Canis lupus familiaris: one gene and its partners. The protein of the gene in region 1 binds, or shares a complex with, the protein of each later gene. Links are inferred from orthologs where the notes say so. Each region holds a gene or a part of one and is shown in the gene's direction. Other genes may lie near its edges.

The links.
Region 2: the proteins of SFN (region 1) and RND3 are in contact, whole or in part, in a crystal structure (PDB 7OBC), measured with the Homo sapiens proteins. The link is inferred for Canis lupus familiaris from reciprocal best matches to the Homo sapiens genes SFN and RND3. Residues at the interface, in NP_006133.1 of Homo sapiens: Lys49, Arg56, Arg60, Lys122, Asp126, Arg129, Tyr130, Glu133, Gly171, Leu174, Asn175, Val178, Glu182, Ile219, Leu222, Asp225, Asn226, Leu229, Trp230; in NP_001241667.1 of Homo sapiens: Asp236, Lys237, Ala238, Lys239, Ser240, Cys241.
Region 3: the proteins of SFN (region 1) and ANPEP are in contact, whole or in part, in a crystal structure (PDB 7AEW), measured with the Homo sapiens proteins. The link is inferred for Canis lupus familiaris from reciprocal best matches to the Homo sapiens genes SFN and ANPEP. Residues at the interface, in NP_006133.1 of Homo sapiens: Asn42, Ser45, Val46, Lys49, Arg56, Lys122, Arg129, Tyr130, Gly171, Leu174, Asn175, Val178, Glu182, Leu222, Asn226, Leu229, Trp230; in NP_001141.2 of Homo sapiens: Ala60, Ser61, Ala62, Thr63, Thr64, Leu65, Asp66.
Region 4: the proteins of SFN (region 1) and NOTCH4 are in contact, whole or in part, in a crystal structure (PDB 7OR3), measured with the Homo sapiens proteins. The link is inferred for Canis lupus familiaris from reciprocal best matches to the Homo sapiens genes SFN and NOTCH4. Residues at the interface, in NP_006133.1 of Homo sapiens: Lys49, Arg56, Arg60, Lys122, Arg129, Tyr130, Glu133, Gly171, Leu174, Asn175, Val178, Glu182, Leu218, Gln221, Leu222, Asp225, Asn226, Leu229, Trp230; in NP_004548.3 of Homo sapiens: Arg1914, Arg1915, Phe1916, Ser1917, Ala1918, Gly1919, Arg1921.
Region 5: the proteins of SFN (region 1) and AMOT are in contact, whole or in part, in a crystal structure (PDB 7NPB), measured with the Homo sapiens proteins. The link is inferred for Canis lupus familiaris from reciprocal best matches to the Homo sapiens genes SFN and AMOT. Residues at the interface, in NP_006133.1 of Homo sapiens: Val46, Lys49, Asn50, Arg56, Arg60, Lys122, Arg129, Tyr130, Gly171, Leu174, Asn175, Val178, Tyr181, Glu182, Asp215, Leu222, Asp225, Asn226, Leu229, Trp230; in NP_001106962.1 of Homo sapiens: Val171, Arg172, Ser173, Leu174, Ser175, Glu176, Arg177, Leu178, Met179.
Region 6: the proteins of SFN (region 1) and NFKBIA are in contact, whole or in part, in a crystal structure (PDB 6Y1J), measured with the Homo sapiens proteins. The link is inferred for Canis lupus familiaris from reciprocal best matches to the Homo sapiens genes SFN and NFKBIA. Residues at the interface, in NP_006133.1 of Homo sapiens: Glu14, Cys38, Asn42, Val46, Lys49, Asn50, Gly53, Gly54, Arg56, Lys122, Arg129, Tyr130, Pro167, Gly171, Leu172, Leu174, Asn175, Val178, Leu218, Leu222, Asn226; in NP_065390.1 of Homo sapiens: Gly62, Ser63, Glu64, Pro65, Trp66, Lys67, Gln68.
Region 7: the proteins of SFN (region 1) and SIRT3 are in contact, whole or in part, in a crystal structure (PDB 8ANC), measured with the Homo sapiens proteins. The link is inferred for Canis lupus familiaris from reciprocal best matches to the Homo sapiens genes SFN and SIRT3. Residues at the interface, in NP_006133.1 of Homo sapiens: Asn42, Ser45, Val46, Lys49, Arg56, Lys122, Asp126, Arg129, Tyr130, Pro167, Gly171, Leu174, Asn175, Val178, Tyr181, Glu182, Leu218, Ile219, Leu222, Asn226, Leu229, Trp230; in NP_036371.1 of Homo sapiens: Arg99, Arg100, Ser101, Ile102, Ser103, Phe104, Ser105, Val106, Gly107.

Annotation. Positions count from the first base shown.
Region 1 is NC_049223.1:72,665,232-72,668,319, reverse strand, and holds SFN (14-3-3 protein sigma), read left to right. Parts: upstream 1-1,239; 5' UTR 1,240-1,339; coding exon 1,340-2,086; 3' UTR 2,087-2,588; downstream 2,589-3,088. UniProt on the Homo sapiens protein: Adapter protein implicated in the regulation of a large spectrum of both general and specialized signaling pathways. Binds to a large number of partners, usually by recognition of a phosphoserine or phosphothreonine motif.
Region 2 is NC_049240.1:53,561,648-53,565,899, reverse strand, and holds the start of RND3 (rho-related GTP-binding protein RhoE), read left to right. Parts: upstream 1-1,452; 5' UTR 1,453-1,656; coding exon 1,657-1,806; intron 1,807-2,421; coding exon 2,422-2,509; intron 2,510-4,252. UniProt on the Homo sapiens protein: Binds GTP but lacks intrinsic GTPase activity and is resistant to Rho-specific GTPase-activating proteins.
Region 3 is NC_049224.1:53,265,553-53,269,481, reverse strand, and holds the start of ANPEP (aminopeptidase N), read left to right. Parts: upstream 1-1,129; coding exon 1,130-1,761; intron 1,762-2,313; coding exon 2,314-2,456; intron 2,457-2,569; coding exon 2,570-2,709; intron 2,710-3,128; coding exon 3,129-3,255; intron 3,256-3,337; coding exon 3,338-3,492; intron 3,493-3,714; coding exon 3,715-3,828; intron 3,829-3,929. UniProt on the Homo sapiens protein: Broad specificity aminopeptidase which plays a role in the final digestion of peptides generated from hydrolysis of proteins by gastric and pancreatic proteases.
Region 4 is NC_049233.1:1,739,106-1,743,255, reverse strand, and holds the start of NOTCH4 (neurogenic locus notch homolog protein 4), read left to right. Parts: upstream 1-1,350; 5' UTR 1,351-1,498; coding exon 1,499-1,556; intron 1,557-2,357; coding exon 2,358-2,439; intron 2,440-2,605; coding exon 2,606-2,898; intron 2,899-4,150. UniProt on the Homo sapiens protein: Functions as a receptor for membrane-bound ligands Jagged1, Jagged2 and Delta1 to regulate cell-fate determination.
Region 5 is NC_049260.1:86,471,317-86,475,604, reverse strand, and holds the start of AMOT (angiomotin), read left to right. Parts: upstream 1-1,488; 5' UTR 1,489-1,907; intron 1,908-4,288.
Region 6 is NC_049229.1:14,263,084-14,267,349, reverse strand, and holds the start of NFKBIA (NF-kappa-B inhibitor alpha), read left to right. Parts: upstream 1-1,466; 5' UTR 1,467-1,594; coding exon 1,595-1,821; intron 1,822-2,401; coding exon 2,402-2,510; intron 2,511-2,853; coding exon 2,854-3,064; intron 3,065-3,349; coding exon 3,350-3,438; intron 3,439-3,569; coding exon 3,570-3,830; intron 3,831-4,151; coding exon 4,152-4,199; 3' UTR 4,200-4,266. UniProt on the Homo sapiens protein: Inhibits the activity of dimeric NF-kappa-B/REL complexes by trapping REL (RELA/p65 and NFKB1/p50) dimers in the cytoplasm by masking their nuclear localization signals.
Region 7 is NC_049239.1:25,731,965-25,735,464, reverse strand, and holds part of SIRT3 (NAD-dependent protein deacetylase sirtuin-3, mitochondrial), read left to right. Parts: exon of another isoform or gene 1-37; intron 38-518; coding exon 519-707; intron 708-796; coding exon 797-1,029; intron 1,030-2,759; coding exon 2,760-2,860; intron 2,861-3,500.

The DNA of each region.
Region 1 (3,088 bases):
AAATTTCTGAGAGGCAGACTGGGGGAGGCAGCACTCACCTGGTACTGCTACCCTATAAAACAAAATGGTATGTGTCACCGCCACCTTCTTTATCTTGGTCCTGTCTCTCTCTCCAGGTGCTAGCGTCCCCCTTGGGGAACCAAATTGGGCTGAGCACCCAAGTGGCCTGCTTCCCAGCCTTTGACAGAAGGCAGGCTGAGTCAGGCAGGAGAGCTGGGCCCCCACCCTGTGTGAGCCCCACTGATACATGATGGCAGGCGGCTTGGAGGGGGTAGGTGACCTGGCGTGGAGAGCCAGAGGGTAGGTCCTCAAACAAGTGGTAACAGGCCACCAACTTGAAAGGGAAAATTGTGCTGTGATGGGGAAGGTGTCCAACAAACCTACTGGATGACTAATTACAAAGGCTGGGCTGGAGCGTCAGGGGCCGCTCATTAAATACCTCATTAAGTGGCACCCTGAACGATGCCACCTGTGCATTCTGGGACCTCAGAGGGAACCCTGAGGGGGGGTGATGACCAAGGGAGAGAACCATTTCAGGTAGACTCCGGAAGAAGCCTGGATTTCACTTCTAAATACAGTCTGGAGCTTACAAGTCAGAGGCCTTGACGAGAGAAGCCAAAGGAAGTAGGATACAGGGGATTTATTAGCTGTGTGACCTTGAGCAAATCTCATCCCTCTCTGAGCCTTAGCATTCCCACCTCTAAAGTGGGAGTAAAAGTCATAGTCTGGCCCATCTCACAGAGACATAGTAAGGATTCAATCCAATCGTGGCTGTGAAGGTGCTTGGGAAACTACAGCCCTACCTAAACATAATTATCTCACCCAAACCAAGGTGGAAAATGTACCTGGTAGGATTAAGAACCCCATCCTCCTGGGTGCACCTGTCTTCATGCGCTCTAGCCAGGCTGAAGCGGCCACTTGGTTGAAGCCATCCCTGGCCCCTGGAAGAACACCATGAAGGAGGATCTGATTTGAGAAACTGGGGCATCTGGGTGGGCACTCATGGAATCAAAGCACCGAACAAGAGGGGGCAGCCTGGAGCTTGGAAAGGTGTCCTGTGCAGGTGGGGCCGACGCCCGGCGGAGTTCTCCCGCAGACTGAGCCCCGATGACTCACCCTACATCCCAGCCTTTTACCTTTAAGGAAGAGCCGGAAAGGGTGTGGGGAGAAGACCAGAGGGAGGCAGGTCCCGGGCCCCAGCCCCGCCCTCGGTCCCTCCCCACCCCTCTCTGGGGCCAGACCTTCCAGCCAAAAGGCAGGCAGAGAGCAGGAGAGGCACAGAATCCGGCATCGGTTTCAAGGCAGCCAGTTAGCCCGCCGCCTGTCTGTCACCAGAGCCATGGAGAGAGCCAGTCTGATCCAGAAGGCCAAGTTGGCAGAACAGGCTGAGCGCTACGAGGACATGGCAGCCTTCATGAAGAGCGCCGTGGAAAAGGGTGAGGAGCTGTCCTGCGAAGAGCGAAACCTGCTCTCGGTGGCCTACAAGAACGTGGTGGGGGGCCAGAGGGCTGCCTGGAGGGTCCTGTCCAGTATCGAGCAGAAAGGCAATGAGGAGAGCTCGGAAGAGAAGGGCCCGGAGGTGCGAGAGTACCGGGAGAAGGTGGAGACCGAGCTCCGGGGCGTGTGTGACACGGTGCTGGGCCTGCTGGACAGCCACCTCATCAAGGAGGCCGGGGATGCCGAAAGTCGAGTCTTCTACCTGAAGATGAAGGGCGACTACTACCGCTACCTGGCCGAGGTGGCCACTGGTGACGACAAGAAGCGCATCATTGACTCAGCCCGGTCCGCCTACCAGGAGGCCATGGACATCAGCAAGAAGGAGATGCCACCCACCAACCCCATCCGCCTGGGCCTGGCCCTGAACTTTTCTGTCTTCCACTACGAGATCGCCAACAGCCCCGAGGAGGCCATCTCACTGGCCAAGACCACCTTCGACGAGGCCATGGCTGACCTGCACACCCTCAGCGAGGACTCCTACAAAGACAGCACCCTCATCATGCAGCTGCTGAGAGACAACCTGACGCTGTGGACCGCCGACAACGCCGGGGAAGAGGGGGGCGAGGCTCCCGAGGAACCCCAGAGCTGAGCCGCCCACCGCGCCCTCCCCGCCGCGCCCTGCCCTCTCCAGCACCCCGCCCGCCCGTGGCAGAGAGGACTAGTGTGGGGTGCGAGGCCCGACCCTCCTACCCCAATGCTCTGCCTCCTGCTCACGAGAGCTCCGAGGAGAGGAAGCAGCAGAGCTGAGGCCGGCTAGGGCCGGGGGACTCGCTCTTCCTGCCGCTGTCGGGGCCCGCCCACCCCTGCTCTCCGCACCCCTCCCCGAAACCCCACCGCCAACCGGGCCACTTCCTCCCCCTCCTGCCTCCCTCCTGCCCCCCGTTGCCTCTGAATCTTAGGAATTGAGGAGTGTCCCACCCTTGTGGCTGAGAGCTGGACTGTATGGCAGAGCCTGGAGATGAGTGTGTGTGTGTGAAAGAGCGAGAGCGAGTGAGAGCACGAGTGAGAGCGCGCAAGACCCGGATGAAAGGGAAAGCATGTCTGCTGGGTGTGACCCTGTTTCCTCTCAATAAAGCTCCCCTGTGACACTCCTCCTGTCTCTTCCAGTTATTGGCGAAGCGATGGGACAAGGACTGGCTTATGATTTAGAGACCTTGACTTCTGATTTAGGGCCTTGACCTCTCACGGGGCTGGCTCAGGGACCCACAGGCAAGACTCTGGAGCCAGTGACCCCAGGTGAGAGGCTGGGGGGCAGGAGGTCCAGCTCTCCATCAGGGTGGCCCCCAGCAAGCTGGTCTGGTCCCGGACGGTCGGGGGAGCGCAAAGGCGGCCCTAAGGCTGCTCTAGGGCTGCAGGGCGGGGGGCTGAAGAGTCCAGATCTGAGGGGACAGGAAAGCCTCTCAGGTGTGAGGTCCGAGCGACAAGGACAGGTTGTAGTGAGCCGCAGCGAGCACCCCGGCCTTGAAAGCGAGTTAGAGGCCCATCCAGTGCTCAGATCTGAGAGGAGGGGAGCACAATCTGGGTAGAGGCTTGCGCCGCCATTAAAAGCCCGTATCTGAGAGGGGATGCCCCCGCCCCCAGCGCTCCGACT
Region 2 (4,252 bases), on another chromosome or scaffold:
GATACTTACATCTGTGTTTTTAGCCCCGTTTCAGTGCCTTCTCATTCCCCATGCTGAACATTCTGGGGTTTCTTTTTTTCCTTTTTTTTTTTTTTTTTTAAGATTTTGTTTATTCATTTGAGAGAGAAAGAGAGAGTAAGAGAGAGCAGAAGCACAGATAGGAGCAGGGGGAGAGGGAACCTTGGAGCCTTGGGACTCCCCCCCCCAGCAGGGAGCCAAATGCCAGGTTCTGTCACAGGCCCCCAGGGTCATGAAGGGTCACAGACAGTCCATGAACTACCTGAGCCACCCAGGCACACCGAACATTCTGGGTTTTTGCCTCACCTTCTCATTTACAAGCCTACAAGTCTCCAACAAGGGTACCTATGAGACTTTTGGCCAATGTCTTTACTACAGTTTAATAGTTGAAACCTTTCCATTGGAAACACGGGAGATCCAGATGGTAAAGAAGGACCTCTGATAGGGGAGGCAACAGATGCGTGGCCATTTTGCTCCTCCTTTTTGGGTGTGTGTGTGTGTGTGTGTGTGTGTGTGTGTCAGGGGACCGCCTGGAAGAGAGGAGGAGAGGGAGCAGGGAGCTGTACCTGTGTTCTCCAGCTGGGCACAGTTGTGGTATCTGGGCTCATCTTTGATCCTGGGGGAGGGAAGGCTACGGAGGGAGGACACGGGGCAGGGCCGCACACCCGCCTACCCAGTCTCCTTCCTGGAACCGGGCAGCCGCTGCCCTGCACCTTTGGGTTCCTGGGACAGTGGGGCTGACTGCACAAGACTTTCACACTCAGTTATAAGCATCTTCTGCTTTTCTTTTCCTCTTCCTTTTTTCTTTTCTTTTTTTCTTTCCTGTTCCCACCTCAGCTGGGCACTCCTCAAAACCCTCCTGCCTCCTCCTGAGTGACAGTTTTGGAAGCCCCTGTGTCGCTGTGACCCAGACAGGCCAGTTCCCGCATCCGAAATAGCCTGGCTCAACTATTGTTCCCTGGCCTACATAGGTGATAGAAACCATGCCTTAAAAAAAAAAAAAAAAAAAGAATGCAAGCGCTTAACCCTTCCCAACCCGAGACTGGCTGCTTCCTCGGCGCCTGAGCTGCCTGAACTTGGGTGAGAAGCGCGTTGGCTCTCACCGACGTTCCTGCGGCCTCCGCCAAGCGGCCCGCTCGGGAACCCTAATAAAAGCCAGTCCCCGCCCCCCGGACCCCCCCCCCCGCCCCCCAAGCCCCCCAACCCCCCCCCTCCGGGGTCCCGCGGCCCGCTCGGTGCGCACCGCCATCCCGCGCGGCCACCCTAGAGGGCGCCCGGGGCGCGCTCTCCGCGGCGAGGGGACCGCCCCGCTCGCGGCCCCGCGGAGGCAGGAGGCGGGTCGCTTCCCGGCTCATTGAGAAAGAGGATTGGAAGGCCCGGCCTATAAAGCGGCGCCGGGCGCGGGAGACAAAGCAGTCGGGCTGAGGTGGACGCGGGCGGCGCGCCGAGCCGGCCTGAGACTCGCGGAGGGGAGGGTCGCCTGCGCCCCCAAGCCCCGCCGCCCCGCCGCCCCGCCCGCCTCCTGTTTCCAGACCGGCTTCCAGAGAGACGGAACTCTCTCCTCTCTCTCTCTCTCTTTTTTTTTTTTTTCCTCCAAAAGAGAAAATTCCTGTTCCAAGAGAAAAGAAGGCAAGATCAATGAAGGAGAGAAGGGCCAGCCAGAAATTGTCCAGTAAATCGATCATGGATCCTAATCAGAACGTGAAGTGCAAGATCGTGGTGGTGGGGGACAGTCAGTGCGGGAAAACGGCGCTGCTGCACGTCTTCGCCAAGGACTGCTTCCCCGAGGTGAGCGCGCCGGGCCCCGCCTGCCCCCCGCCGCGCCCCCCGAGCCCCCCGCGCCCCCGGCCGGGCGGTGACCCGCGAGCCCCCGGGGACGCGTCTGCACCTTCCGCTCCGGCGGCCGACACCTGCCGGCTCCGGTGCGCGCGGGCGGGTGGGGAGGCTCGGCGGCCGCGTCCCCATAGCGCGGAGGCTCGGCGGCCGCGTCCCCATAGCGCGGAGGCTCGGCGGCCGCGTCCCCAGAGCGCGGAGGCTCGGCGGCCGCTTCCCCATAACGGGGAGGCTCGGCGGCCGCGTCCCCATAGCGCGGAGGAGGCTCGGCGGCCGCGTCCCCATAGCGCGGAGGAGGCTCGGCGGCCGCGTCCCCATAGCGCGGAGGAGGCTCGGCGGCCGGGTCCCCATAGCGCGGAGGAGGCTCGGCGGCCGCGTCCCCATAGCGCGGAGGGCACTCGGGGCCTTCGGGGTCGCTCCGGCCGTCTCGCGTGTGCGGCTTTCCCCCTCTTTTCTTGTCTTTTTCCAATCGGGGAGCGAGGAGGCGGGTTTCGAGGGCGCTCTGCGGGTGTCGCGCACCTCCGGTAACCTCTGCGCCCTCTCTCCCTCCTCTGTCCGCTGTCTGTCCAGAATTACGTCCCCACGGTGTTTGAGAATTACACGGCCAGTTTTGAGATCGACACACAAAGGATAGAGCTGAGCCTGTGGGACACGTCGGGTAAGAGACCGTCGGGCCGCGTGGCGCTCGGGGCGGGTCCCGGGCCCCAGCGCGTGGCTCCCCGCGGCCCCGGGTGACTTCGGGTGACTTCGCCTCCGCCTCGGGTGCCCGCGGTCCCCGCCGGGCGGGGCGGGGCGGGGCGGGGGGAGGGAGTGGGGCCGAAGGGGACAGCCAGGTGGCCCGAGGTCGGGGGGCTGCGTGCGCCCCTCCGGGAGCCGACCTGCTGACGGCTGCGGGGGCCGCGGGGCGCCGGGAGGGGGACAAAGTGCCCGGAGCCACGCAGCCCCGCGTGTGGGGAGCGCGTGCGGGGTCAGCAGCGGGGGCGCGAGCGGCCGGGACGTGCGGGGGGGCGCAGGGGCAGGGGGGCGCAGGGGCGCCGGGGGGCGCAGGGGCACGGGGTGGAGGGGCGCTAGGTGGAGGGCGGAGGAGCGCGGGGTGGAGGGGGCGCAGGGGCGCCGGGGGGCGCAGGGGCACTGGGTGGAGGGGACGCAGGGGCGCGGGTCGGAGGGGCGCGGGGCCGGGAGTCCGGCAGCCGGCCGGCCGCGCCGCGTGGGTGCGGACGCGCAGATCCCGGCCCCCCCGCCCCCCTCCCGGCCCCCCTGCATCACCCTCCGCCGGCCTTGACCTTCCTGTCCCGCTGAATCCTCGGCGTCGCGGTGAATTATCTTGAGGGGTCCGGGGTTCAAGGCCGGGTCACCGGGTCCCGGGCGCGGGGCGGCCGCGGGGGTGCGGGCGGGAGGCCCCGGCGGCCCCAGGGCTGGTGCCCGGCCCCCCTGCGGCGCGGGGAAGCTGGGGCGGGGGGGGGGGCGGGGGAATCCCGCTTCCCGGAGGTGTAGCCTCTGCAGGGGGAGGAGCCGCGGGAGGCGGGCGCAGCGGGTGGGGAGCGGCTGCGGGGCTGCGGCGGGAGAGGGGCCCCGAGGCCGGGGACGCGCCTGTGGCCCAGCAGCCGCCCGCAGCCCCCGAGGGTCGCGGGGAGTCGGCTCGGTCGGGCCGCAGGGAGCCCCGCGCGCGGCTGTGCACGTGGCCGGGAGGCTGTGACCCACAGCGCCAGGCGCCCACAGCGCCCACGCGCCCAGGTGCCAGGCGCCCTTGCTCCTGCGGCTCCTCCCGCCGGGGCCCCTCCGCCGCCGGGCTCCCCCGCGGCCTACTCCACCCCCCAGCCTGTAGGGGCCCAATGCAGGATAAGAATCATTCAGGAGTGGGGTCTGTGATTCTGATCCACTGTTTATGAAAAAAAAAAAGGCAACGACTGTGTTTAGCTCTTAGTACTGGTTACTGGGGATTTCTGTGTGCAAATCGCTGCCTCCCTGAGTCTCCTGTCCCCTTGGGGGTGGGGGGTGCAGAGCTAGACAAAGCGCAGGACCTCCCTCCCCCAGCTGCATACTCCTTGGCCTTGCACGCGAAAGCGGCCAGTCTTTTTGTTTCCCAGGACCTCGGTGGGCCCAGGGGCCCTGGCGTCCCCTGCTGGGCCTCGCACCACCCAGAGAGCCAGCCGGGCTCTGAAGGGAGCCCCCGCTTCCTGGCAGATTTGGGAAGGAGCCCCGTGTGGGGCGGGAGGGGGCATGGCTGGGCTCCCAGGAATGCTGGATCATGCCTCCCCTGTGTCCTGCCTCCTGAGTCAGAGGACCACCAATGGAGCGTTTATAGGAGGCGACCAAAGGGCTAAATTGACTTTGTTTTTAGGAGAGAAAAGGCATATTGTTTTTTCAAAGGCTGGATGACAAACAAAATGTGGTCAGTGCT
Region 3 (3,929 bases), on another chromosome or scaffold:
TGAGCCAGCCAGGTGCCCCAGCAAGCAAGCTATGATGAAAAGTGATCCAGTTCTTGTGACAAACAGGTTTGAGGGGGCCTGAGTGGAAGTGGCGAGTCCATGAGGGGATAGTATCTGCATAAACAAGGAGAGTGGTTTTGACCAAGGACATGGTGAGATGAGGGGATGGGGGCAGAATTGGACATAGAAGTCAATGTCTGAGACACTGGGCTGCTAGATAAGAAGAGTGATATTGAACATTATTTTATTACGTATGATAAGTAGTAACTTCATTGCTACTAAGGATAGGAAAAGAGGCCATGCCATGCTCTGAGTAAGGAAGAAGGGAATGGTGTTTGGGTTCTGCTCTGTAGTGTTTAATATATTTTCTTGTTAAATCTGTGCAACAAAGCTGAAAGGTGAGTCCTATTTTCTATTTATGAGGAGAGAGCTCTCAGCAAGGTAAAATTACCTGCCTAAGCTCACAGCTGGGAAGAGGGTAAACCTCCACCAGCCTCCTCTCTTAAAAAAAAAAAAAAAAGGCAAAACATCTTCTTCCTCCTCAATATGCTGGAGAGTTGGGATAGAAGTTTTTGGCAAGAAGCGATGAGAAGGAGAGACCTCCTGCCCTGGAAGATCGCAAGGGAGGCTAGGACCGTGCCACTGAGGAGCCCTGGGTGTCCTGCCAGGATCCAAACCATAGGGGTGACCCGAGACACACCTGACTCAAACCAGAAACTGACTCTCCTCTGCATCTCCCACCTCCCACTCCTGGGAAGTCCTTCCTTGACTCTGACCTCATCTGATCTGCTTCTGTCCCCACTGTCACAGCATGCAGGCTCACTGCTACCCGGCCCCGCTGCTCCTTCTCCCTGCACCCTCTTCCTGCAGCCTATGACCGGACGCCGTTTGCTCCCCAGCAGGCACCCCGGCGCGCTGTGTCTGGATCTCCTCCCTCTCCGGAACCTGAGCACAGGGTGCCCCTGCCCCATCCACTGACCTTTGCCTGTGTGAGCCCTGGTTAATTTTTTGCCCAGTCTGTGGGCTGTGGGGCTCCTCCTTCTCCCTCCCAGGGATATAAGTCTGGCCGAGGCTCGCTTGCTTCTCGCCGTCCTGAACCTCCCCCAGCTTCCCCGCCCCTGCCCTCACCATGGCCAAGGGCTTCTACATTTCCAAGGCTCTGGGCATCCTGGCCATCGTCCTGGGCATTGCGGCCGTGTCCACCATCATCGCTCTGTCTGTGGTGTATGCCCAGGAGAAAAACAAGAACGCTGAGAGCTCCCCAGTGAGCTCCCCGGTGAGCTCCCCGGTGAGCTCCCCGGTGAGCCCCACAAACCCCAGCACCACCGCGGCTACCACCTTGGCCCAAAGCAAACCTTGGAACCATTACCGCCTGCCCAAGACTCTGATTCCGAGCTCCTACAACGTGACGCTGAGGCCATACCTCACCCCTAACAGTAATGGCCTGTACACCTTCAAAGGCTCCAGCACAGTTCGCTTCACGTGCAAGGAGTCCACCAGCATGATCATCATCCACAGCAAGAAGCTGAACTACACCAACATCCAGGGGCAGCGGGTGGCCCTGCGGGGCGTGGGGGGTTCCCAGGCTCCTGCCATTGACAGGACCGAGCTGGTGGAGGTCACCGAGTACCTGGTGGTGCACCTGCGGGAGCCACTGCAGGTCAACAGCCAATATGAGATGGACAGTAAGTTTGAGGGGGAGCTGGCCGACGACCTGGCGGGCTTCTACCGCAGCGAGTATACAGAGAATGGTGTCAAAAAGTGAGTTGTGGCTGGGTCTGCACCTGGGGGTAGGGAGGTGGGGGGTGGGCAGGTCCTAGATGCTGAGGCAGAGCTGGATCCTGGGGGCCGAGGGAGGGAGGGCTTGGACTGGCAGGCCTTTGAACTTCCTGGAGGCTTTTGCTGGTTCATGACTGCGTCCACAGGTACTGGTGGAGCGGCTACCTAGAAAGCAGCCCTCTCCTGGGGGCCCCCATTCCCCGCAATAGGGAGTCAGGGGAAAGTGGTAAAAGAGCCTCTGAACAGATAGGAAAACTGGGGCTCACAGGAGAAAAACTTGCCCAAGGTCTCCCGGCTAATACAGGGAGACCTGTATTACCCTGCCAGGACTTTGACTCTGATCTCTCAAAGGAGCGGCCTGTCAGGATCCAGAAGTTGGAAGTTGGGAGGGCAGGGATGAGGCCAGACCGGACTTTCATGCACCCCTTCTCCCACATGCCCAGCAACACACCCTAAATCCCCCACCCCACCTTGCTCACCCTCACGGGTGCAGGCGTTCCACCGGCACCCGCTCTAATATCCTGGTTTGGACAGGGTGCTGGCCACAACACAGATGCAGGCTGCAGATGCCCGGAAATCCTTCCCGTGCTTTGACGAGCCAGCCATGAAGGCCACGTTCAACATCACCCTCATCCACCCCAGCAACCTTGTGGCCCTGTCTAACATGCTGCCCAGAGGTGAGTGGGTCTGTCCCGGAGCCACACACCCTTAGGAAGGAGGCACCTCCAGGGCTAGGAGGCAGGGCAAGGGAGAGGAGGCATCTCTATGTGCTCAAATGCTCCATGCCTAGGTCCCAGTGTCCCTTTTACCGAAGAACCCAACTGGAATGTCACTGAGTTTGAAACCACGCCTATCATGTCTACTTACCTGCTGGCCTACATCGTTAGCGAGTTTAAGAATGTGCAGGAGAACACGCCCAGTAATGTCCTGGTAAGAAGCTGGGCCCACCTGTCCTTCCCCTGGGATTGGTCCTGGCCGGAGAGATAGTCTTGTTTTAATTCATTTTCATCTAAGCCCCAGATTTGTTTGAATCCCAGCTCTGAGTGATCTTGGACAAGTGTCTTAAATGCTAACCCTCAGTCTTTGCATCTGAAAAATGGGTCTCTCCTCATGAGGGGTGTTCCTAACATGTGGGTGCCAGACATATGGTGGCCATGACTGCTATTATTCCCAAAGCCTCCTCCCTAAGACTCAAAGCCCCTCAGAGACCACCAGCCTTTTCCTCTGCTGCCCACAGCTCTCAGTTTAACTCAGTTGATGCCCTCACTAGCCTACTGGGCCCCTGGGGCTCAGCCCATCTGCACCAGAACCCAGGAGGGACCTCTGACCTACCTTCCTTGTCTTTGCAGATCCGGATCTGGGCTCGGCCAAGTGCGATGGACCAAGGCCATGGAAATTATGCCCTGAGGGTGACAGGCCCCATCCTAGACTTCTTTTCCAGACATTATGACACACCCTACCCCCTCAATAAATCTGGTGAGTGAGGGGCCTTGGGGTGGGGGCAGAGGATGGGGCTTCCTCCCCAGAGGCCATCCTGCCAATGGCCTTGCCCTCCCAGACCAGATTGCCTTACCTGACTTCAATGCTGGTGCCATGGAGAACTGGGGGCTGGTGACCTACCGGGAGAGTGCGCTGTTGTATGACCCGCAGTCTTCCTCCATCGGCAACAAGGAGCGCGTGGTCACTGTGATTGCTCATGAGCTGGCCCACCAGGTAGCACCCCCCCATCCCAGAGAGTGCTGGGAAGTGAGCAGGGGGGCTCTGGGAGGAGAGGGCACAAGTCCTCACTCTGTCCTGGGTATCTGGACCCCACCCTGGACTAACAGCAGAGGGGAGTCCTGCCCAGCACCTGGCACATGGGGGACGCTCACTGAAGGGGAGTTCTGGGTCACAGAGCCAGAGTGGCTAACTGGGTTGACCTTCCCTCCCCAACAGTGGTTTGGGAATCTGGTGACCTTGGAATGGTGGAATGACCTGTGGCTGAATGAGGGCTTTGCCTCCTACGTGGAGTACCTGGGCGCTGACTATGCAGAGCCTACCTGGAATCTGGTGAGCCAGCTGCCTAGTGGAGGGGGAAGGGGGGGCCCCTGTGTGCAGGGTCGGTGGTCACCCCCCACCAGGTTGGTCCCTCCTCATGGCCACTGGGGATT
Region 4 (4,150 bases), on another chromosome or scaffold:
TGATCATGATGCCTATTGGTGATTCTGAATGAAAACTACCCTGGAATTATATTCTTGCCCCTTTTCTGTGAGCTTGTTATTTCCAAATAAAAAGGTTTTTAAAAAGGAAGGTATCCCAGGCACACCAGGCTGCAGCCTTGGGCACTGCAGTGCTGGGGGCTATGCATGGCTTTTGATGACACCTCCTGTCACCCAGACTCTCAGCTTTAGGTGCTACTAGAGGAACTCAGTGTGTGACGGACGCCAAAACTATCTTGGGTTGACTCACAAAGGTAGGATGAGTCAAGGCAATGAATTTTCTTTTGTCATTTTATTTACTCCAATTTTTAAAAGGTTTTATTTATTTATTCATGACACACAGGAAGAAAGGGAGGCAGAGGGAGAGCTCAGGACCCCGGGATAGCAACCTGAGCCGAAGGCAGACAGTCAACTGATTGAGCCACCCAGGTGTCTCTATTTACTCCAATTTTGAAATCAAAATCTGGCGTTCCTGGGGCACCTGAGTGGCTCAGTTGGTTGAGCATCTGACTCTTGATTTAAGCTCAGGTCATGATCTCACAGTTGTGGAACCAAGCCCCTCATCAGGCTCTGCACTCAGCTGAGTCTGCTTGAGATTCTCTCTCCCTTGCCCTCTGCCCCTCCTACTGCTGGTGCTCTCTCACAGAACAAATAACATCTTTAAAAAAATAAAAATAAAATACTGGCATTTCTTGCATCCTAGGGCTCTCTGTGGTGGAGGGAGGGAAGGGGAACATATCCAAATGTAGTGTTTTCTGTGGGTAATCCGGACTGCAGATTTTAGTACAGACAATGTTCATTTATCATTGATGATGTGGTTACATGTTCCCCAACAAAGGCAGGCCAAGATTTCCCCCAGAATCAGCCTAGTATCTTCCCCATTCCCCAAAGGAAGAAAACTAAGTTCCCAGCAAGGGCTAAGGTAAGGGCCAGAAGTACCCTGGGCTCCCTCTGCCAAGGTTAGTGATTTCAATGTACAGAAAGTCGCAGATTGTCCGAGCAGCCTGGATACGGACCTGGAGCAGAAGATGTCTCAGCACCCCTCACCTCTGTTTCCAGGTCCTGACCATCCCAGGGCAAGAGGCAGCCACCCTGCTATTCTCATCTCTAGAAAGGGAAGCCCACACAACAGAAGGGCTGGGGCTGAACCCAGAGCCCCCTCACTCCAAGCCCTGTGCTCCCCTCCTCTCACCTGCCCTACCACCACACAGTCCCATTCCTCCGGTCCCCAGGGGTTGTTGGGGACAGAAGGCCCCTCCCTCATCCCCCTCAATGTTCCTCCACTCCTCCCCCTCCCATCACTAGGGTGTCCAGGACATTGTGTGACTCAGGAAACAGCTCAGACGTGAGGCTTGCTTCAGGCAGAGGAGGAGGAAGGGGCTGTGGGAGCAGGGGAGGTAGCTCCTGCCCCAGTGAGGGCTCTGAGAGTCCTTTCCTGAGGAGGTGGGAGGGGATCTGGGTTTGGGGCAGGGGCTCTGGAATGCAGCCCCCTTCTCTGCTGCTGCTGTTGCTGTGTCACTCGGTTGTCAAGACCAGAGGTGAGGCAATGGGGTGGGAGAGTGAGGGGACCCACCTTCCTTAAGAGGGTTGGGGGCAGAGGGCCAAGCCTGGTGCTTTGAGGGGACACTGGATGGAGGAGAGTTTCACCCCCTTGCCCAATGCAGGGAGAGCAGACTCTGCCACCGGAGCTGCACAAACAGGCTTTGGGGCCTGAGCCAGGGGCGGTAACTGTCAGAGGAATGGCTAGGAGGGTGCCCGCTCCCAGAGAGAACCCAGCTGGGACAGGGGGCTCTTGAGATGGCGTTTAGGAGGTGAAGAGGGAAAAAACTGACCACCTGCTAGGGGAGGCGATGACAAGAAAGCAAGAGATGGAGACATGGGAAGGTCAAGGGCTCTAGGACCAAGTCCCTTTCCCGGTCCAGCTGTCCCCACCCCCGATGGCTCAATGCTGGGCTCTTCCGGGAGGAAATCCCTTCAACGTCTCAGCCATTCACCTTCCTGGAGTCCCCAGGGCCCCCTCCTGAGCCCTGTTGTCAGGGCTTCCGGGATGGAGTCTGAGGCTGGGCTTGGGAGGCCTGGGCTTGGGAGGCCAGAGGATAAACAGGAAAGGGGGTGGGGATTAATAGCCAAGAGGATCTAGAGGCCTGGGCCTGGGATTGGGGGGGCGGGGGGGGGGGGGCCACTGGGGCAAGAGCACCACTTGGGGACCAGGAACAGAGGCAGTGGTCCGAGAGAGCACGCGTCCCGCTGCTACAGGCAGGTCCCTCCAGAGCACCCAGAGGGGGAAATGGGGAGCACAGTACTCCCCAGGCCCATCCCATCCTCATCTCCATCCCTAGTGCTGCCGTGTGGGGACTCCCCAGAACCCTGTGCCAATGGAGGCACCTGCCTGAGCCTATCTCAGGGACAAGGGACCTGCCAGTGAGTGTGCCTCCTGGGACTGGGAGACTGGAACGGGGAAGGAGAGCAGGGTGGAGGGGGGACTGGGAAGGAAGGAGAAAGAGAGGAAGTAAAGGCTCTGAGGGAGGTGGGAGAGAAGGCAAAGAGGGCCCAGTGAGTAAGCTGTCCTCTCTCCTCCCCTGCTCAGGTGTGCACCTGGCTTCCTGGGTGAGACTTGCCAGTTTCCCGACCCCTGCCAGGATGCCCAGCTCTGCCAGAATGGGGGCAGCTGCCAAGCCCTGCTTCCTGCCCTCCCAGGCTCCCCTGGCCTTCCCTCTCCCTTGGCCCCCAGCTTCTCCTGCACCTGCCCCTCTGGCTTCACCGGCCAGAGGTGCCAGACCCTGCTCAAGGACCCCTGTTCTTCCTTCTGTTCCAAAATGGGCCGCTGCCACATCCAGGCCTCAGGCCGCCCACAGTGCTCCTGCCTGCCTGGATGGACAGGTGAGCACTGAGGGGGAAGCGGGGTGGGGGGGGGACAGGAGCAGCTGGCTGGGAAAGATAGAGCTGGAGTCTGAGATACAGGGAGCCCTTCTGAGGACAGAGGCTGTGCGAATCAAGAAGCTGACTCTTGCTGACGATTTACCTGAGACTGACATTCACCAGCATGGCTGCACCGATGGTTAAATGTTGAAGTCTTTCCAAACTTGTCCGTAAATGTCTCCTGCCATAGCCCCTTTTGGTGCACCACCCTGGCCTGTTTCCCTGGCCCCTCCGTCCAGCAGCCAGAGGGTGTTAACATACCCAGCACAAGGTGGGGGAGGGGAACCTCCAGGATTCTGCATTATGGTCATCTGGATGGTCTCTATTCTGAGGAGTGGGAGCCCAGAGCAGCACCTGGATAGATGTGCTGGTGGGAAGTGTAATGAGGGTGGAAGGGCTCTGACCCAGAGAGAGGAATGGGTGTCAATCCTGGGAAGAAGGGTGCAGCCCTGGGGCAAGGATGTGGGGAGAGTGGGGGGGGTGGCAGGAGCAGGGTATGCTAGCCTGAGGAAGTAGGCAGGGGTGCAGAACAGCCAAGGGCCTCAGGAGAGGAAGGCTCCTCTGACCTACCAGGACGGAGGGGACTGGACAGGGCAGTGAAGGCCACATGGGTAGGGAAGTGCTCTGTGAGCAGTGGACTAGAAGGGAGCTCCTCAAACTTGCTGAGGCACAGCAATTACCTGGAAAGCCCTAAACATACTGATGTCCACATCCCAGAGAGGCTGATTTAGTGGGTCTGGGCTGTGCCCAGGCATGGAGACTTTTTAACTGTCCAGGTAATTCTGAGGACTTGGGGGTGAGAGACCAGGCTGTGTGACAAGAAGGATCACAGTGGCAACTTGCCCAGCCCTGTGCTTGGAGCAGGGGTTCTGGGAGCCCTTCCCCAGGTCTGGGTGCCAGCTCACCATGGATGAGACCTGTGCCCTTGCACTAACTCTCTACGTCCTTGGTTGTCAGCTGATGTCCACACTTCATAAGGTCATTGAGAGGAGGAAAGGGAGCGATGCTCAGGAGGCACTGACATAGCTCAGTGCCAGGGGCCACCACCGCCATTGCCACTGGTGCAAACGGCTGAGAGGTGCGGCTCCTTATCACTATCTGGAACCCTGTAGCCACCTAAAGATTAGGGAACCCAGACAAGAGAGGCCAGACAACCGTCTGAGGGTGCAGAGCCTTGTGGCACAGCAGTGCTAAGTCTCCTGCCTGCAGTGGC
Region 5 (4,288 bases), on another chromosome or scaffold:
ATTTTCCTGGACACATTCAAGACTGTTCACCATGGGACATATACAAGGAGGAAGACATACATGTGTGGAGTGCTCTGTGGTTTGCAGTTTTCACACACATTTCATTTTATTTTCATATGCCAATGTTGTTAATAGGGTATGTCCTACAGCTTTTATTTACAGATAGAAAGATTAAGGCTCGGGAAAGTCAAGCGACTCAAAAAAGTTGCACAACTGGCTGTTAAGTGCTACAGTCCAAAGTGAGTTCCTCCCTTCCAAGTTCCGTGTCATTCTGCTACCCCTACAGTGTTCCTTTGGGCTTTTGTTTCCCAGATGTAAAAATGGTAGATTTTCAGTGTCCCAGGATGCTGTTCTTAACTGTCTGTGCTCTCAGGCAGGATCAGTTTTTCGCAGCCGGGAAACGTGAACACCACAGTGATACTTGACGTACTTCTTGCCCCTCCGGGCCTCATGAATTAAGGGGAAAGAAAAGCTACCTATTTGGGAATAGCGGGCCAGACCTTGCCACAAAGGTGTACGGGAGCCAGCCGACGACACACTGTCGCACTCTCTCGGGAGACCGAGAAACCTAGCGTCTCTTCTTTCTCTGCTCAGCAGTAGCCGGGGGGGTGGGGGGGAGATGGAGAGCGAGACAATAGTCTCTTGTTCAGTTTTATTAATTTTGAGAGAGGGTGGGACAAAAAGATCGGACCGACGACGCAAGTGACCAATCCCGACCGAATCCTGGACGGGGATTCGCCAATCCGGAGCAGCGAAAGAACGCCGGGTGAGACTTAACTCTTCACCGCCCGCCCCTCCCAGGCCGGCCCTCCCAGACCGCCCCGGAGGCGGAGACTCCGCGGAGCCCCGCCCACACCGTCCCCGCTGCCAACGCGGCCCGCCAAAGGGAAGGGGGGCGGGCATGCGGGGGTGGGGTGGGAACGGGGAGGCTACCGGCAGCAGAGGAAGAAAGAAGGGTGTCGCGCAAAGCTGCGACCTGGGTGGGGGCCTGCTGGTCATAGGAAGCAAGAAGGGAAGGAAAACAGAGGAGCGCTGCTCCTTCCTGCATTATTTTGAGCAAGCTTTGCGAGAAGCTGCTTTTCAGCATTTCTATTTGTGTTTCTTCCTCCCGCTGTGGGGCGGGGGGCTGCACGGGCTCTCCCACGCACCTCCCCTCCGCTGGTGTCGTAGATTATTGTTGGAGTCTTTGCAGAACCCTTTCTTTCCCCCCAGCCAGCGCTTCCGTAGCCTCTCAGGACCCAGTCAGCGCGTTGAGCCACGTTAGCGGGTGGACGAGAACTAGGACCCTTCGCATTCGCTGGAGTGGCTCGACCCCGCCGTTCAATTGTTTGAAACTTCCCCGCCCCCTGGCCCCGCCTCTCTTCCGCCCCCCGCCCCTCCAGGGTCCTGGACGGCTCCCTTCCTTCATTCCCCGCCCTCTACTCCGCCCCACTCTCCAGTCCACCCCCTCCCACTCCTCCCCCCCGCTCCTGGGCGGTCCTAGCCGCGCACCGCAAGAAGAAAAGCCACCCATTCGTCCTCCTCCCCTACCTCCCATCCTTTGCCCAGGAGCTGCCTTCATCGCAGTCACGCCCCTTCCTTCCGAGGAGCTTTCTGGCTGCCCAAGCTGGTAGACCCCCTGATTTATTATTCCTCCATCTCCTCTCTGTTCTGCCTTATCCTCTCTTAGTTCTCACCGCCCCCTCCAGCCCCCACCTCCAGCCTGTCTTGCGTCCGACCATCTGCTGCTCCACCCTCTGGCCCGGTATCCTGCCTGTCCACTGCCACCAAGGAGAGCCCGGACGGAGCAGTGAGGAGCGGAGCAGCCGGAGTTGGGGCTTCCCCCTGCCCATCCCTGGCCTCCGGCCCGGGACCGAAGCCACTTGAGCGAGCAGAGAGTCGTCACCTTGTCTTCGGTGCCTTCAGGGGTAGGAGAAGCATGGTTACTTTACGCGGGGAACTGGGGCAGGAATCCATGGTGGCATGAACTTGATCGTGCCCTCGGCGTGAGTGAGTTGATCTAGATGTGTGTGGTGATGCCCGTGTGTTCTACTTTCTTTGCAGCTGGCCGTTGAGTTTTCCAGGATGAGCAGCAACTTAAATCGGTTAAAGAGTGTGCGCTCCTCTCCCGTCCTACGGAGATGCTAGTGGGTACCACTACTTGATGGTACTTTTACTTCCTTGCTCCTGGGACCCTTGTAGGTCCCTAGGTGATTAAGCACAAAAAGGAATGAGGGAACTTCAGGTCTACATTTACTAAGGAGGAATGTGTGCGCTTATCTCAGATTGCAAGATGCGTTCCTCCCTAAATGCTTAGAGTTGGGGTGGGGGCCCACACTGCCCTCCGCCGGGGGCTGTGAATTCTTGAAGTCCTAAAGTCTGGGAGTAATCTACCATGCTACACTCCTTTTAGTCTGTGTGTGTGTGTGTGTGTACGTGTATGGTGGTGAGGACTGGATTGCCCAGTATCTGCTTTAGAGATGTTAGTAAGGACTTCTGCAGGATCATGCAGGTGTCTTGAGGGTCCCAAGCCCAGGTCACTGTACATTGGTGCGTTAGCAGCAGGATGGATCGATCAATATATGAAAACAAAGAAAAATGAGAGGGAAAGTGACAGTCTTTGTAGTCTGGTAAATTGCCACTAATAGTAGTTTAATAATCATCTGCAGCAAGGGACTAGATACAATTAAATGAGAGAGGAAAGGGGGCGTTTGTGAGAAACAGCATTAGCAATCTCTAGCATGTGTTTTAGAAAGAATCGTAGTTATGTCTAATGTAGCTCTCCTTCCTCCTTCCGTTTGCCACCCTTACGTTAAGAGTAGAAGTTGGGAGGCGTTTAAAACTTTTTTTGGGATCCCTGGGTGGCGCAGTGGTTTAGCGCCTGCCTTTGGCCCAGGGCGCGATCCTGGAGACCCAGGATCGAGTCCCATGTTGGGCTCCCGGTGCATGGAGCCTGCTTCTCCCTCTGCCTGTGTCTCTGCCCCTCTTTCTCTCTCTGTGTGTGTGACTATCATAAATAAATAAAAAAATTAAAAAAAAACTTTTTTGAATATAACCTTTTTCCATTCAGAGAGGAAGATAATTAGTCACCATAGTCTCCAATAATGGAGGGCTAAGGTTATTTAAGTCTCCTTGAACTAGGTTTTGTGAAAAGTCCTTTCGTGGGCCAGCCTTTGTGAAGCTTTCTTGGTTAGACCTTTCAGCACCTTCATTTAGGAGCTAACAATACTTTGAAATAGCATTTTGGATGCAGGATAAATTTTCACCCATCTCCCCCCACCTCTCTCCAGTCAGGCAAGCGTGGCAAACTTAGAAGGGTGGTGGTATTTAGAGACCTGTTACCAAGATGTCACCAACCCATTGCTTGTTTGGGAACAAATCATTCACTTTATTTTTAAATAGTTGTGTTGGTTGATTTTAACGGGGGGGAAAGCAAAGCAGGAAGGGAGAGAAAGAATGTTACAGGGCGACAATTTTAAAGGCTATCGTCTTTCAGATCAGCTGGGAGGGAAAAGTTGGCCTGACCAAACTACATTTTATAACTGGCCTGGGACATTTTAATAGCCAGGTGGTTGTAGAGTAGTTGCGTCTATTTACAGATGATAACTCAGGTTCCAGTTATTCTGTATGGGTTTATCCGGTGTCATTTACAGACACTTTCTGGCACTACATCATACTTCATTTTAAGATCCTTCTTTCTTTGGAAAACTCTGTGGCTCTGTAAAATTGAAAGTGCTTTTCCTAACTTCATAGTCTAGATAGGCAGTAAATCTCTGACCATGCTTGTTGTAGAGTCACTTTTAGGGTGAAAGTGGTGGATCTGTTTACCTACGTAACAGATTCTAGAAGGAAATTTTAAAATTCGCGTTCAATGCTATTTTGGATTTGGAGATTGGAAGGTCATTTCTGGTTTGTGAGATAGGAATTATTAGACAGATGCAAACCCAAGGCACTTTGTGGAGTTGCTTTTTCTGAGGCTTTATAAAGAGTGAATTACACTGTTTCTAGAATGCCCTTAAGAACAGTCTATTCAGAGCGCAGAGGGATGGATGCTATGACCTTGAGGTCCCATTGAGTGCCAGAATTCTAAGTGGGTACATCTGCTTCTGTGCCTCTCCTAAGAGCTCTCTCCCAGGGCCTGTGCCTTCTTTAAAAGGGTGTCTTTGTAATTAAGCAGCCTGTCTCCCCCATCCCCCTTTCTTCCTTTGATCCAGCTTTTTAAGGCCTTTTTTCCATTTGGAGACAAGAGGAGTTTCTCACACTCTCCTAGTCCCCTCTTAAGGTTTCTTTTCCTTTTTTCCCCCAAAGA
Region 6 (4,266 bases), on another chromosome or scaffold:
TTTATCTCACTCCCCCGACCCCGGTTCCCTAAATTCAGATAGTCGGGAGGAGTGGAGGGAGAAGAGATGAGCAAAGGGTTGGTTAGTATATGGCCAGTCAAGTTAAGATGATTGCAATATAATCACCAGAAATTTCTGCAAAATTATAAAGCCTCCTGGAGCTAGTTCTGAAAAACTCTGACCTGAGTTGCTTCATTTTGCCTGGACCAATTCTAGAGATAGAAAAATTCTGTTAGAGGCTGGTTGGCTAGGAGAATGGGGGTAGGGTGGGGAACGTAAGTTATATTTCTGCAGGTGAAACCAAAGGATGAGGAGCCCATAGGGGCTATACACAGCGCCTGGAGAGGTCCAACTGCTGCCCTCTCCAGGGCAGGAGAGCAGGGAGCCAGCAAGAGGGTAATGTTAGGTTGGCGGGAGGGTGGCCTTCTGTAGGATGCTTTGCAATCTAAACCATCCTTAAGGCCCAATCTTGGGTAAGGCACTTCTCAACCTATTCTTCAGCCTCTTCCAAATGCTTCTGGAAAGACACCGGCTGGGTACCCAGAAGTAGGCTCTGCAGCAGCACAGTGCAAATCAGGAAACATGACCTCAATAATTATTTTGTTCGTGCAGGGCAGCTAGCTACAACCTCTACTACAAAGATTAACACCTTGCTTTACCTGAAAAAAAGTATGGTCCTGTTCAGCGTTTTCGCTGAACACAGGGCAGAGTGCTTGCCTCTCCACCAGTCAACAGGAATGTTAATCCCGAGGAAATGATTTGAGGGTTCTCCAAGCATTTCAATGCCAAAAAATGCCAAAAGCTTTTTGGCTTTTAATGCCAAAGCATGCACAACTTTTACCTGGTTGGGGGGGGGGGGGGGCCTCGAGGGAGTGCTACGTGTGTCCCCGCGCCACAAAGAGCCTGGCATTGGCAGGGTGGCAGAGGCAGCCGGCGACCTTCTAACCCGCCAGTGCGTCCTTCCCCGCAGAAGTTTGGGGAAGCAAATCCCTACGTCCAGCCATCATTTCCACCCGAGTTTTCAAAAGATCAAGAAACGGAAAGGTTGGCAAACCCCAAGGAGGAACTGCCTGGCGGGTCTGCGTTCATTGGGATCTCAGCAGCCGACGACCCCAAGTCGAATCGATCGTGGGAAACCCCAGGGAAAGAAGGCCGCTTGCAGAGGGACAGGATTACCGAGTGCAAGCTGCAGGGAAGTACCGGGGGAGGGGGCCTCGGTCGGGAGGACTTTCCAGCCGCTCAGCGTTCATCAAAAAGTTCCCTGTACATGACCCCAGTGGCTCATCGCCGGGAGTTTCTCTGATGAACCCGGCTCAGGGTTTAGGCTTCTCCCCCTTCCTCCCCCTCCCGAGCAGAGGACGGGGCCAGTTCTCTTTTCTGGTCTGACTGGCTTGGAAATTCCCCGCGCCTGACCCCGCCCCGGAGAAATCCCCTGCCAGCGTTTATAGGGCGCCGCGGCGGCGCTGGCGAGCCCACAAGAGTCGCAGCCAGCGGTCCTGCGTCCGTGACCCTGCGAGGCGAGGCGAGGCGAGGCGGCGAGCGCGCAGCCCGCGGCCGAGCGCACCTGGGCAGCAGCGCCGAGCCTTCCCGCGCCATGCTGCAGCAAGCCGAGCACGCCCAGGACTGGGCCATGGAGGGTCCCCGGGACGCGCTCAAGAAGGAGCGGCTGCTGGACGACCGCCACGACAGCGGCCTGGACTCCATGAAGGACGAGGAGTACGAGCAGCTGGTGAAGGAGCTGCGGGAGATCCGTCTCGAGCCGCAGGAGGCGCCGCGCGGCGCCGAGCCCTGGAAGCAGCAGCTCACCGAGGACGGAGACTCGTAGGTGTCTCGGGGCGGGCGGGGACGCCGCGCCTGCAGCGCGAGGCCGAGGGGCGGCAGCCGACCGGGGTGTGGGCACCGATCCCCCGTACACCCCTGGCCCCGGGACCGCGCAAAGCTGCCGGCTGCGCTGCGGGCAGCAGAGGAGGGTCGGATCCCGGGCTGGCGGTGCAGCAGCCCTGCGCTGCAGCGCGCACCCCCACCCCCCAGCCCCGGTCCGGAGCCGGTCCTGCCGGCGGGGGCGGGGCGGCGGCGGGGACGCGAAGTCCCCGCTTGCACAAGGGGGGCGGGAGCTCCTGCCCCGCGGGCGGGCGCCGGGGGGCCGGGAGGGGAAGTACAGGGCGTTCCGGCCCGGCGGGAGGGCGGGGCGGTCTGGCCGGCGCCCGCCGAGGAGGGAGGGGGCCCGGAAAGTCCCTGGGCGCCTGCCAGGAACACTCAGCTCATAATAACCTCGCGGAAAACACCGCGGCCTCGGCCTCCAGAAACCCCGGCCTTGCGCAATCCCCCGCAGCCCGCGCCTCCCTGGGCCCCACGCGATGCACTCACCAGCCCTGGGGGTTTTTCCCTCTCTTCCCCTTAGGTTCCTGCACTTGGCCATCATCCATGAAGAGAAGGCCCTGACCATGGAAGTGGTCCGCCAAGTGAAGGGCGACCTGGCCTTCCTCAACTTCCAGAACAACCTGCAGCAGGTGCGCCGGCTCGCCCAGCCCTGTGCCTCTGACCCAGTGATGAAGTTGGATCTAGCTCAGTTGCTCCCAATCCTTTCTAAATTAATAATCACTGGGCATTATGTACCTTGACCTTTTTACATTGGAATCGGCCAACGTCCTAGAGAATAAAGAAAATTCTATTGATTTGGTGAGGCCTATGATGAAAGCCCACCTGCGGCCTCTGGCATTTATCTTGCCCTTCATACCTGTCTGGGAGGAGGAGCAGCACCCACAACCAGTAGATCTCCGGAGTTCAAGGGAAGACAGACTCTTGAGTTTGGGCCATGGCTTACCCTCTTTCTATTCCCTCTTGTGTTTGTAGACTCCACTCCACTTGGCTGTGATCACCAACCAACCAGAAATTGCTGAGGCACTTCTGGAAGCTGGCTGTGATCCTGAGCTCCGAGACTTTCGAGGAAATACCCCCCTACACCTTGCCTGTGAGCAAGGCTGCCTGGCCAGCGTGGGAGTCCTGACTCAGACTTGCAGGACCCAGCACCTCTACTCCATCCTCCAGGCCACCAACTACAATGGTATGTCTGCCTGCCCTACCCTGCCCATCAGAAGGCAGGTGACATGGAGAAGGGAGAGGTAGGCCAATGTTAGGAGTCCAGGCAAGAGCTGAAACTCTGAATACTTGAAAGGTTGAGAAAATATGCATGCAAAAGGTCTGTTTCATGCCTTGATAAAGTTCATTCAGAGCCCAGATTCTGGGTTCTCCAAATTCAGAATTTATTCCCTATAAGAATAGACAGAAAGTTCTGCTTGAGATCTGAGGGTTGAAGCAAGTGGTTATATTTGCTTCATTGTTCTTCTAGGTCACACATGTCTACATTTAGCTTCTATCCATGGCTATTTGGGCATTGTGGAGCTTCTGGTGTCTTTGGGTGCTGATGTCAATGCTCAGGTGAGTTCTTCATGTCTCCAGATGGAACGCATCAGGGCTCCAGGCCCTCCTCAATAAGACCTCACATGTTCTTGTTGCAAGTAGAAATTCCAAACTCAACCATAAACATCTCAAATTCCTTTTGGTTTCAGGAGCCCTGTAATGGCCGAACCGCCCTCCATCTTGCAGTGGACCTGCAGAATTCTGACCTTGTGTCGCTTTTGTTGAAGTGTGGGGCTGATGTCAACAGAGTTACCTACCAGGGCTACTCCCCGTACCAGCTCACGTGGGGCCGCCCAAGCACACGGATACAGCAGCAGCTGGGCCAGCTGACCCTAGAAAACCTTCAGATGCTGCCAGAGAGTGAGGATGAGGAGAGCTATGACACAGAGTCAGAGTTCACAGAGGACGAGGTGAGTGTCAACTCCATCGCTCTGCACAAAGCAGTACCCTCCCAGGTCTCTAGAGCTCCTCTTTATCCAAAGAGCTCAATGCAATGAAGTTCTCCCACTTTAGTGTTCATGACCAGGAGTCTCCCAAAAGTGTGTCTTTGTTTTTTGCTCTTTTTAAAGGAGAGGAGCATTAAAGAAAAACTTCCTTAGCCCCTGAGGTTAATTTATACTTGGGTTATGGAGAATGGAATCCAAGAGTACTTGATAATGGCCCTCACCCTTATCCCAGTACCTTTGACAAAACTGGAAGCTTAACATGGCTTTTTTTTCTCTTGTTTTTAGCTGCCCTATGATGACTGTGTGCTTGGAGGCCAGCGCTTGACGTTATGAGCTTCAAAACATATCTAAAAGAACACGGACTTGTATATTTGTACAAAAAGAGAGTTTTATTTTTCTA
Region 7 (3,500 bases), on another chromosome or scaffold:
TTTGCAGAGAGAACCTGAGCTGAGTCTACCCACTGCAGTGAGAGCATGAGTGTTTCTTTCTGGAATGGTCTCTAGAACCCATTTTTCCTCCTGATGATATTTGGTGTAAAGTCTGAGACATTGGCTTTCTTTAAATGTCACTGTGTATTTGTCACATCCCGGGTACGCTGCAGTATATGTCTCTACAGAGAGCACACCCAGAGCCCCCACTAAGCCCCTACACCTTTGGTGTGGACCCTTGTTCTCTTAGTGCTGGCACTGGATAGCAGGAATTAAGAGATGATACATCCCTTGTTTGCACAGTTCCAAGTAATCTGAATTTTTTGCTCCCAAATAAGTTTTGATTTCTGAGTTGACACTTCTTTCTCTTGTAGCCCAGTAGTCACCCATGATGAGAAAAGTGGTCATTTTGGGGTACAGGAGGGAGGTGTCTGATCATTCTCATTGCTGGGGGTGGTAGGAGGGCTAGCATGAGTTTGACAGTCCCTGGTCACCTGGCCACTCTCTTTTTCTGTCAGCATTACAGGCGGAAGAAGACCCATATCTTTTTCCACTAGAACCTCAAGCATCTTTGGAAGCGGAGGTGACCATAAGAAGAAGCTTTTTCTGCAGGATATAGCAGAACTGATTCGAGCCAGAGCCTGCCAGAGGGTGCTGGTCATGGTGGGGGCTGGCATCAGCACGCCCAGCGGCATTCCGGACTTCAGGTGCCCAGCAGCTCCTCCCTTGGCACCCCGGTCTGCCTCATGGCCCTGCCTCTTCCTCAGGGCTCAGAGCCTCTTGCTCCTCTTCGCAGGTCTCCCGGGAGCGGCCTCTATAGCAACCTGCAGCAGTATGACCTCCCATACCCCGAGGCTGTTTTTGAGCTGGCTTTCTTCTCTCACAACCCCAAGCCCTTTTTCACTTTGGCCAAGGAGCTGTACCTTAAGAACTACAGGCCCAACATCATACACTACTTCCTCCGACTGCTCCACGACAAGGGGCTGCTTCTGCGGCTCTACACGCAGAATATTGATGGGCTCGAGAGAGGTGAGCTCTCCGCCTGTCGCCACCTCCTCTCTGCACAGAAGGCTTGGGTGCCTGTCCTCTGGTTGATTTCAAGCCAACTAGTGATGCCATTGTCCCTGACAAAAAGTGCACCATGTGTCTAAGAGTCACTGTTGGGATCTCATTGGTGGACCTGATGTTCTGGCATAGTTGCTGGGCTGTGAGTTTTGGACAGAACTAAAATTGACATCAGGAGCTTCTAGTTTTGCTAGAAGCTGGTAGGGTGATTTTGTTTAAAGAAATTTATTACATTTTTTGAGCACATAAAAATAAAGAGAGGAATGTAATGAACCCCCATGCCTTCATCATAGCCAGTCCTTGCTTTATCTGTGTCTTCCTACCCCCACCTTTTCTCTCACCCCTGGTTATCTTGAAGCAAATCCCTGACATCATAAACTTAATCTATAAATAGTCTATAAGTACTTCACTGGTTATCTCTAGAAGATAAAGACTTTTATATATTTATTTTTAAAGATTTTTTAAAATTTATTTATTCATGAGAGACACACATATACAGAGAGTGGCAGAGGAAGAAGCAGGCTTCATGCAGGGAGCCTGACATGGGACTCGATCCTGGGTCTCCAGGATCCCACCCTGGGATGAAGGTGGTGCTAAACCGCTCAGCCACCCGGGCTGCCCCAAGACTTTTAAAATATAATTAGGATGCCATTGTCCACAGAGAGACCACTATTAATGCCTTAGTATTATCAAACAGGATGTGTAATGGTTTCTGACTGTGTCGATAACAGCCACAACCAGTAGTTCACAGACGCTGCATCTTAGGCACTCACCAAGCCTTTCTCTTATGGGCATCGACGCTGCTGATGGGTGCTGTTAGAGCTGACTTAGCATCTTGTGATTTGAAAAAAGGAGTCATTCCTGGACTCCAGGAAAATGATTCCTTGCTAGAAGGGTTCTGCAGCTTGGAATTACATAGGCAGCAGTGGATACCCCACGGGGATGATCTTTTCTGGAGATGGAGTAGGACAGGCCTTGTGGGAAGGTGGGAGCATCTGGCTGTGGCTTTAGCATATGGAGGTTTTGACAATAACGGGAACAGTGGAAGCCACTTGTGGCTGGGGCTGCTTGCCCACCCACAGCTCAGTGGCTGGCAGTGGGAACAGGGAACTGTCATAAGTTACCTCTGTTTTTCTGCAGTTTTTTGGAAGCTACTGTCTTTATATAGTTTTCTTGAGGGAGAGTATGAGAGCACGCGTGCATGTACCCATCGGGGGAGGAGCAGAGGGAGAGGGAGAGGGAGAACCCCAAGCTGACTCCCCGTGGAGCACGGAGTGTGAAGCCTGCCTGGGGCTCAACGCCACGGCCCTGAGATCATGACCTGAGCCAAAATCAAGAGTCAGATGCTCAACTGACTGGGCCACGCAGGTGCCCCTGTATAGTTTTTTCACTTTTGCTTGGTCTCTATGGAATAGGTAATTTTTCCCTAGGTATCAAATGTAATTTTATCTGAGTTTATAGCAAACTTGTTGACAGGCTTTGTTTTACCGTAATTTGGCTCCGTCTGGAAGCCCTCATCCCTGATGCTCATTCTGGTCAGTGGGACATCATCTGTAGGTGGGGGAGGCACGGACAGCCAGGCTTGCACTGAAGGCTGTGACTCCCTCTGGGGTCTGCCAAGTTCAGAGTTTACGCGCTGGGGCTTGTGCGCCCACCCTGGGGCCAGCAGCACTTAGCTTTGGTTTGAATTTCAGTAGCTGGGATCCCTGCCTCAAAGCTGGTTGAAGCTCATGGATCCTTCGCCTCCGCCACATGCACTGTCTGCCGAAGACCCTCCTCAGGGAAGGACATTTGGGTGAGTTGTCACGCTGATGGTTCTCTCCCTTCTGCACTTTGCAGTGGGAGTGATCTGGAATAGTGACATTTTATGAGCATTGTATTGGAAGACACCAGAACTGTAAAGCTGTGGAGTGCTTTTCTTTATTTTCAAATTGGAAAAGTAATACACACTTGTAAAAAATTAAGAAATATGTAGGGAAAAACATATCTCCCTTCAACCTATAGGGAGTTTCTATAGCCCACTCTTAACAGTTTAGTGTATAATGTTCTAAACCTTAAAAAAAAAAAAAGGCATACCTAAACGTACATGGCTGTGTCTGTATCCTTACACTACACAGTGACAATTTTTTTAATTAATAGGATTATTGAAATTTTTAAAAATTTATTTGTGAGAACATGAGCAAGAGGGGCAGAGGGAGAGGGAGAGAGAATCTCAAGCCAACTTCCCACTGAACACAGAATCCGATGTGGGGCCTGATCTCACGACCCTGAGATCATGACCTGAGCTGAAACCAAGAGTTGGCGGCACTTAAGCAACTGAGCCACCCAGGCTCCCCAGTAATAGGATTATTAGGGTTAATGTTCTACAACCTGCTTTGTTATAGAACAAAACTTCATGGATGTCTGTGTCAATAACTACAGCTTTGCTTACTATT